2 linked regions of the Saccharomyces cerevisiae S288C genome follow. Changing the gene in region 1 together with any one later gene gives a genetic interaction. Each region holds a gene or a part of one and is shown in the gene's direction. Other genes may lie near its edges.

Region 1 (4,351 bases):
GGGTAACAGGGTTAGGGGATTAGAAGATTAAAGTAAGACACATTATAATCTATAGAGATTTTCTACAACACAAGAAGTGTGCCATTCAGTCCGAATTGAGTACAGTGGGACGATGTTTCAAAGGTCTGGCGCTGCTCATCACATCAAATTGATTTCATCTCGAAGATGCCGCTTTAAATCCTCCTTTGCAGTTGCTTTAAACGCTGCCAGTAAGTTGGTAACTCCCAAGATTCTTTGGAATAATCCCATATCATTAGTCTCGAAGGAGATGAACACATTGGCCAAAAATATAGTTGCCCTCATCGGGTCTGGCCATCCGGTGCTAAACAAGGTTACTAGTTACTATTTTGAAACAGAAGGCAAAAAAGTACGTCCCTTGTTAGTGTTGTTGTTGTCAAGAGCACTTTCTGAAATTCCCATGACAGAAAGAAATCACTTGAAAATTGACAAGTCGGATGTTCCTGAGGACCCAATTTACTCTAAACCTAGTCAAAATCAACTATTTCAACGTCCTGCAAGTAGCATATCCCCACTACATATTCTTCACGGTATTAAACCACTAAATCCCTTGACAAAAGGTCCTGAGCCTTTGCCAGAAGAAACTTTTGACAAACAAAGAGGGATTTTACCCAAACAGAGAAGATTAGCAGAGATTGTAGAGATGATACACACTGCGTCTTTACTTCATGATGACGTTATTGATCATTCTGATACAAGAAGAGGAAGGCCAAGCGGAAATGCTGCCTTTACCAACAAGATGGCCGTTTTGGCGGGTGATTTTCTCTTAGGGAGAGCAACAGTGTCAATTTCAAGATTACACAACCCCGAAGTCGTAGAACTAATGTCTAATAGTATTGCGAATCTTGTCGAAGGTGAGTTCATGCAACTGAAAAATACTTCCATTGACGCGGATATCGATACCATCGAAAATGGCCATAAGCTACTTCCGGTTCCTTCTAAAAAGCTTGAAGTTAAAGAGCACGACTTTCGTGTTCCAAGCCGCCAACAGGGGCTGCAATTATCTCATGATCAGATTATAGAAACTGCATTTGAATACTACATACACAAGACCTATCTGAAGACTGCTGCTTTGATATCAAAATCTTGCAGATGTGCTGCTATATTATCTGGGGCATCACCTGCCGTTATCGACGAATGCTATGATTTCGGTAGAAATCTAGGTATATGTTTCCAACTCGTAGATGATATGCTTGATTTTACTGTGTCTGGAAAAGATTTAGGGAAGCCATCCGGCGCGGATCTAAAATTAGGTATTGCTACTGCTCCAGTCTTGTTTGCATGGAAAGAAGACCCATCTTTAGGTCCACTAATTTCACGCAATTTTTCAGAGAGGGGTGATGTTGAAAAAACTATTGATTCTGTGAGACTCCATAATGGTATAGCGAAGACGAAAATACTAGCGGAGGAATATAGGGACAAGGCATTACAAAATCTACGGGATTCTCTTCCTGAATCTGATGCTCGTTCTGCCCTAGAGTTTTTAACTAATAGTATACTAACAAGAAGAAAGTAAACCTTGAAATTTCAAATAAAGGGTGAAGAATAAAGAGAAAATGAAGAAGGTCATAGTGTCGCATTATTCTATATTCTATATGTAAATAGTTTTTATATGTTTTTAGTAAAAGAAGAAATATACAAGCATTAAGGATCAGGCTGGTGGTAAAAAAGCTGCAAATAGGATAGTCTGTAAAGGTATCCAGAATGCCAACCAGTATATGTAAAACTTGACTATCTTATCGTCACCTTTCGGATTTTCCATTTTTTTTGGATCAGAAGTTTTAACCAATCTATCAGCCAAATACCAAAGGTGCAAGGGTAAAAAGGAGGCTATACGATTCAGAATTTGGACATGGGCAAAAAAGCATACTATGACGACCAGTGCTCTGGTGATCCATACGAGAGCCTTCAAGTTATAGGAGGGATAAATTTTGCTGAAATATATGGAGGAATAGATTAAAATAATAATATTTGGGACAGCAAACAAAAAGTTTGGGATGTTGTTTGGGGTCCAGTATTTCAATAACCCAACTCCCCAATAATGACTCTGAATGTAGGAATATAAAGAAGTTTTCGTGATAAAAATGCTTGAAAACAATTGAGATTTACACCATTCACCCCTTTGAGGACAAAATGTCTTATATGGTAGGTAATATTGTTGATATAGTAGAGCAGAAAACATTAATGATCCTGATAATAGTGGGAAACATATTGCTTTTACAAACTTCCTGTTCTTTGTTAGTTCAATAAGGTCAAAAATAAAGTAAATCCCTAACAAAACACAGTTTGAACGATTCAAGGATGCTAAGGTAAAGCAAGCCATGCTGATAAAGGAGTAAGGAAACCAATATCTCCACGAAATATCGAATTGACCCAATACGGGCACGGAAATGGAGCATTCACGACTCCAAATACCAACAAATGCAAAAAAAAAAGATAATGGTTCAGAATATATGCTTGTTAAAAATCCAGCGGCACTCGTTAAGAAAAACAACAGAGATGTTTTTTTAGCGATAGTTCTAGCAAACTGTGATTGCCTTATATTTTGGCTGAAAATTTTTTTTGTTAGAAAATATAAAACAATACCTGACAAGTAAAATAAAACATTTTCTATTGCAACTCCAACCCTTAAGGCATGGTAGATGCTATCGTTATTACTTTTAATAAACAGCCTAACGAAAAAAGTCCACAACTGAGAAAACGCGTATTCATGCTCAAATTGAGGTTTTCCGTTTTTGGAAGTTATGTTCTTGATAAAAAAAACACTGTCCCATGATAGTAGCTTATTCCAAAAATACTTGTTCCAATAACTGTTGATTTCAGAGGGAGAAGAACATAATTCGTTTAATAAAAGTGATGTTGATGTATCAAACTGCCTAATTGGAGTCAAAAAAACCAGTAAATACTGTATTGAACGGAATAATACAAAATAAAGTGTCAACCCCACAATCATATTTTAATTTAGTCTTATTCCGCCTCCTCTCTCGAAGCCTCTCTTTTATGTCTTTTTTCGATGATGAGGCTTACTTTTTTTTTCAACTAAGCCTTGAAAAAAAAAGTTTGATTTAAAAGGGATTTTCTATTTTAAGTATTTAAATGACCGACAGGAAGCTCATGCAGAAAAGGCACCTGTAATAGCTTATTGATCATTCCAATAAATAGGAAAGTATAACTCGAATTAAGAATAAGGAATGGGACTTATTTCATACGAAAATGAGGCGATAAACGAGGTGAAAAAGGCAGATAACCATCACGTTAGCAAATTTGTGACTAGTTACTATGGGCCATCATCGTCGTCATGGCAGTCAGGAATATGGATTTTGTTTGTGCTGTTTGTTGCCGCAGTAATCCTTATAATACTGTTCACTTTTGTAGCGAACAGAAGGAGACGAAGGATGGGGCGTGCTCCCATTAGAGGTACGGCATGGTTGACACCGCCTTCATACAGACAGTCTCAGCAACAATATACTGGGACCGTTCAGCAACGGACAGATGATTATGTTCCTGAGTATACAGAAACAGCGAACGAACATGATCTTGGATACTATGACCAGCGGGGCGAGTTTCACCCCAACGATAAGGCTGCATACGTGGCCCCCCCGCCATTGGTACAAGAATGTTCATCAGAATCTGTTAATTCTTTAGAAAGACCTCCCGCTGCTGTAGTTCACCAAGCTAACTCTTTAGATACGGATTACGGTTTAACAAGGCCTAGCAATGGGCGCGTTCCAGCTGTAAGTGATACGGTGGAGCAATTGGAAAGGCTTCCGGGCGGGACTACAACGCAGGAAATTAACCCACCGGAGAGGGCAAAGGTAAATGCAAGGTCATGAACTGAATCTTTTTTTCCGGCTGTCCTCTTACAGTTGAGTTACAATATTTTGCCAGAAATATTTACATTTTTTTACCCAATCTCTATAATAATTATTTTAATTCCTAATCCGCTTCAGGCCCGCGGTCGTTGAAGTGCTATAGTTTATATTCAGTACATTGTCTTTAATCTCTCAGTATTATTTTATCAATAGTAAATACTTCAAGTCCATCGCACGGCGTGGTGGTGATAAAGGGAAAATGCGCGCGGGATTAGCAAAGGCGGCCAATGGATTAAGGGTGACAAGATAGCACCACATCACATCACATCACCATCAGTAATGGAGAGGAAATAGGGTATAAATACTCGTCAGAGATCAATAGATATTATTTCGCAACGTCCTTTATTGTTCTGTTCTTATTTGATCAATTAAGCTAGAAAACCAGCTACATTAAAAGCAAATTTTACAAACTACTATTTCAACATGACTTTGAGTAAGTATTCTAAACCAACTCTAAACGA
Region 2 (3,913 bases), on another chromosome or scaffold:
ATGTTTTTACTGAATTCACTTTCGGCTTGCTCCAATTTCAATCGAAAATTCACGGAAATATCATGGATCTGCTCAAATGGATGATACAATCTCTGTATTTCTTCGTGATAAGTAGAAGGGGATATACTCTTAATGGTTTCTGCCAATGAAAAAAATCGCTTGCGTGTGCTTAAAATTTCATCCAAAGTAGCCTTTACGGATGCACTTGTAAATGTTAGCTTTTGTATAAGTAGCTCCTGTGGTGCTCTTTTCCTAAGATCCTCTCTTATTAAAAGATTGACATCCTGGACAATATCATCCCATTCTTCTATCATGCCTGCTGATTTTTCATATAAACCCAAAAAAGAACCATACTCTAGCTGAAATAAATCTGAAAGATTACTTAGAATTGCATCCATGACTTCTTGTGAAATTTTGTCCATCAGCACAACAAATCTTTGAACTGGATAACCTGAATATCTGAACTTCTTCAAAGAAGATGCTAAAACAGGAAATAGTTCCTGCAAGTCCTCAAGATTGCTTGCCTGGCGAACCTCATCGATAGGGATTGACGATAGAAATTGGTTATATTTATCCGCTAGCTTAAATTTATCTGAAAGTGAACCTTCATTCAATAAATTTGTTAAATTATGAAATCTCTTTGCGTTTGTTAGAACGGATAGACACACCTGAAATTCTTGGCTTTGTGTTTGTTCAATTAACGACTTCAGTACTTCGTAGAAATTCGACCAAAACTCAACTTCGTCTAAAAAAGAACCATTTTTTATATCTCTGTCAATGGCTAATGTTTGTTTAAGAACCAAAAACCATTTGTTTGCAATGCTTTGTAAAATGTTCAAAAATCTCATACTTTCCAAATCATTACTAGGAAGGTAGTTTGCATAATCATGTGAAGTAGCCCCTTTTGATACAGCCAATTTGATAATGCTAGGGACCATCGCTAAAAGATCTGGCGTTTCAATTGAGGTATGTAACTGTTGAAATTGTTTAGAAATGTCGTCAAGTTTCCTCCTCGTTTTATCTATAGTTTCGACAGAATATGTCTTTGTATCTGATTTTATCAATTGGCCAAACACAGACGATACGCCATGTGTGATAATTGAGGCCAGGTTCCCCGCATTTACTGGACCAGGTAAGTATATGGCACTTATTTGTGTTGCAATCGGTTCTGCATCCACAATAACACTTCTAGATTTAATAATTAATAGAGTAGAATACTTTTTATTCGCCAAGTTGGCATCATATATAGCCTCTTCACCAATGTCTATTGTAACTATTGTTCTATCCAGCTCTTCAAAAAGGAAGACAAACAACGTGTCGAACTCTCTCCCATCCAATAATCCCAAAAAAAATTGAAACCGTTCAAGGTATTGACAATGTAGATAATCAATGAATGCTTGCTCATTCTCTTTGGGAGAATTCTTTATACCCGTTACAGTAGCTGCAACAAATTCTATCAGCTCATTAGCAAGTCTTGCCTCATTCTTGCACATTGCCTAAAAAACGTTTTGACGTACTTTCCAATTTAAGCTCTGAACGAGTATTATTGCCCTTCTATGTTCTATGCTTTCTGTTAATTTTTATATGTAATGTTTGTTTACCTTTCATTAGCTTATTTATTAGAATCCGTACAATGCGACCTTCCGCGCATCAATTCGGGATGATCTGATTAAGTAGTTATAGCCTTACGTTAAGACGACAAAAGACATGATAAGCATCCCTCAAAAGTTACAGCAAACTTAAGTCAAATAGGTCCAAAAATCTCCAATAGTAACGCTTTTTCATGAATACACTATTATTTAAGCGAAAAGGTGGCAATTGTGGGAACGAAAGTAACATAGTTTCGCAGGGATCGCCCTCAAGTAGCAATCTTCCTGAATCACCTGGCACTTTAGATGAAAAGAATCTTCCCAGATTGCCTACTCCATTCGCTAGAAGCCTTTCTACCATTCCTAGTTATGAGCAGATGAAACGTACAAACAAACTGCCAGATTATCACCTAAAGATTGTTGTTGTGGGAGATGGCGCTGTAGGGAAGACGTGCCTGCTGATATCTTATGTCCAAGGAACATTTCCGACTGATTATATTCCTACTATTTTCGAAAATTATGTCACAAACATAGAAGGACCCAACGGTCAAATTATAGAATTGGCATTATGGGACACTGCCGGCCAAGAAGAGTATAGTAGACTTAGACCGCTTTCATATACGAATGCAGATGTGCTGATGGTGTGCTATTCTGTTGGTAGTAAGACATCGCTTAAAAATGTGGAAGATCTCTGGTTCCCAGAGGTTAAGCATTTTTGTCCTTCCACTCCAATCATGCTAGTCGGCCTTAAATCAGATCTATATGAAGCTGATAACCTTTCAGATCTGGTGGAACCAAGTTCAGCAGAATCCTTGGCCAAGCGTCTGGGGGCATTTGCACATATTCAATGCTCAGCACGATTGAAAGAAAATATCGATGAAGTATTTGAAACTGCCATACACACGTTACTTTCCGATTCATTATATGCTCCCAGAGAGCCTACACATACAATCAAAAATCCCTTTAAAAGAAATACCACCAGATCAGATATCGATTCTTCTACTGGAGATACCAGCGTCTCTATTTCCGGAACGAAAAGATTAAGAAAAAACAAGTGTATTATAATGTAAGAATAATGATGAAGATTATTCTGTTGCCCATTCTGTACGCACTTACAACATTTGAAAAGTGGCAAGAAAAAATACACACATTTTACTATCTTCCGCTATCTTATTTATCAAGACGAAACAATTAGAACCTGATTTAATTTAACTTCCATTTTTCTGAATCTGGTGTGATATACCGCTCCAATATATTCGAATTTATCCCAATTTTATCATAATAATTCATTTTAATTCGATGTCATAAAGTACTAATTCGATATTAATCTAGCCTAATTACATTAAATACTTAATAAAAGCTTCTGTGACATAAAAGTACAAATCTGTCATTTTATTTTAGAGGAATAGTTTAGGACAAAGTCATTATGTACGAACAGTTTGAATTTTCTTTTTTTTTCTTCGAAAATTCAGACAATAAGGTTAAATATAAAGCTCATCTCATCTCATCGATAAAACGCTGGAGTATTATCACATGCATGCGTTGCTTTTGGACCGTACAGAAGTCTATATTTAAAGCTAGGTTTTTCGCTTGCAGAAACTTTGTCAAGAAGCATAATTATAAACTAATCAGCACCATGACTGGAAGTACTGAAATGGTACCACCAACAATGAAACATACCGTTGACAACAAAAGGCTTTCGTCTCCTTTGACAGATTCTGGTAACCGCCGGACTAAGAAGCCAAAGTTGAGAAAGTACAAGGCCAAAAAGGTTGAAACAACTTCTCCGATGGGTGTCCTAGAATTTGAAGTGAACGATTTGTTAAAATCTCAAAATTTGTCCAGGGAGCAGGTTCTGAACGATGTTACTTCAATTCTAAATGATAAGTCCTCAACAGATGGACCTATCGTCTTACAATATCACCGAGAGGTAAAAAATGTCAAGGTCTTAGAAATTACTTCCAATGGCAACGGGTTGGCTTTGATCGATAATCCTGTTGAAACAGAAAAGAAGCAAGTTGTTATCATACCGTTTGGCCTGCCCGGTGATGTAGTTAATATCAAAGTCTTTAAGACCCACCCTTACTATGTCGAGAGTGATTTATTAGACGTAGTGGAAAAATCTCCAATGAGAAGAGATGATTTAATTAGGGATAAATATTTCGGGAAATCTTCAGGAAGTCAATTAGAGTTCTTAACTTACGATGACCAACTAGAATTGAAAAGAAAAACAATTATGAATGCCTACAAGTTCTTCGCACCAAGGTTAGTTGCTGAAAAACTTTTACCCCCATTTGACACCACCGTAGCTTCCCCTTTACAAT

The links. Genes that interact genetically often act in the same process or in processes that back each other up.
Region 2: mutations in RCR1 (region 1) and RHO4 together harm fitness more than expected from each alone (negative genetic interaction), as found in Saccharomyces cerevisiae (2 studies listed by BioGRID).

The regions. Positions count from the first base shown.
Region 1 is NC_001134.8:242,697-247,047, forward strand, and holds RCR1 (Rcr1p), read left to right. Parts: upstream 1-3,209; coding exon 3,210-3,851; downstream 3,852-4,351. Other genes in the region: COQ1 (trans-hexaprenyltranstransferase), read left to right, coding at 113-1,534; GPI-anchor transamidase GPI18, read right to left, coding at 1,670-2,971; UGA2 (succinate-semialdehyde dehydrogenase (NAD(P)(+))), read left to right, coding at 4,314-4,351. UniProt on the Saccharomyces cerevisiae protein: Regulates chitin deposition in the cell wall.
Region 2 is NC_001143.9:546,433-550,345, forward strand, and holds RHO4 (Rho family GTPase RHO4), read left to right. Parts: upstream 1-1,783; coding exon 1,784-2,659; downstream 2,660-3,913. Other genes in the region: DYN1 (dynein heavy chain), read right to left, coding at 1-1,493; TRM2 (tRNA (uracil(54)-C(5))-methyltransferase), read left to right, coding at 3,016-3,913. UniProt on the Saccharomyces cerevisiae protein: Plays an important role in cell growth. Required to keep the uninucleated state. May be involved in the organization of the cytoskeleton which affects microtubule functions.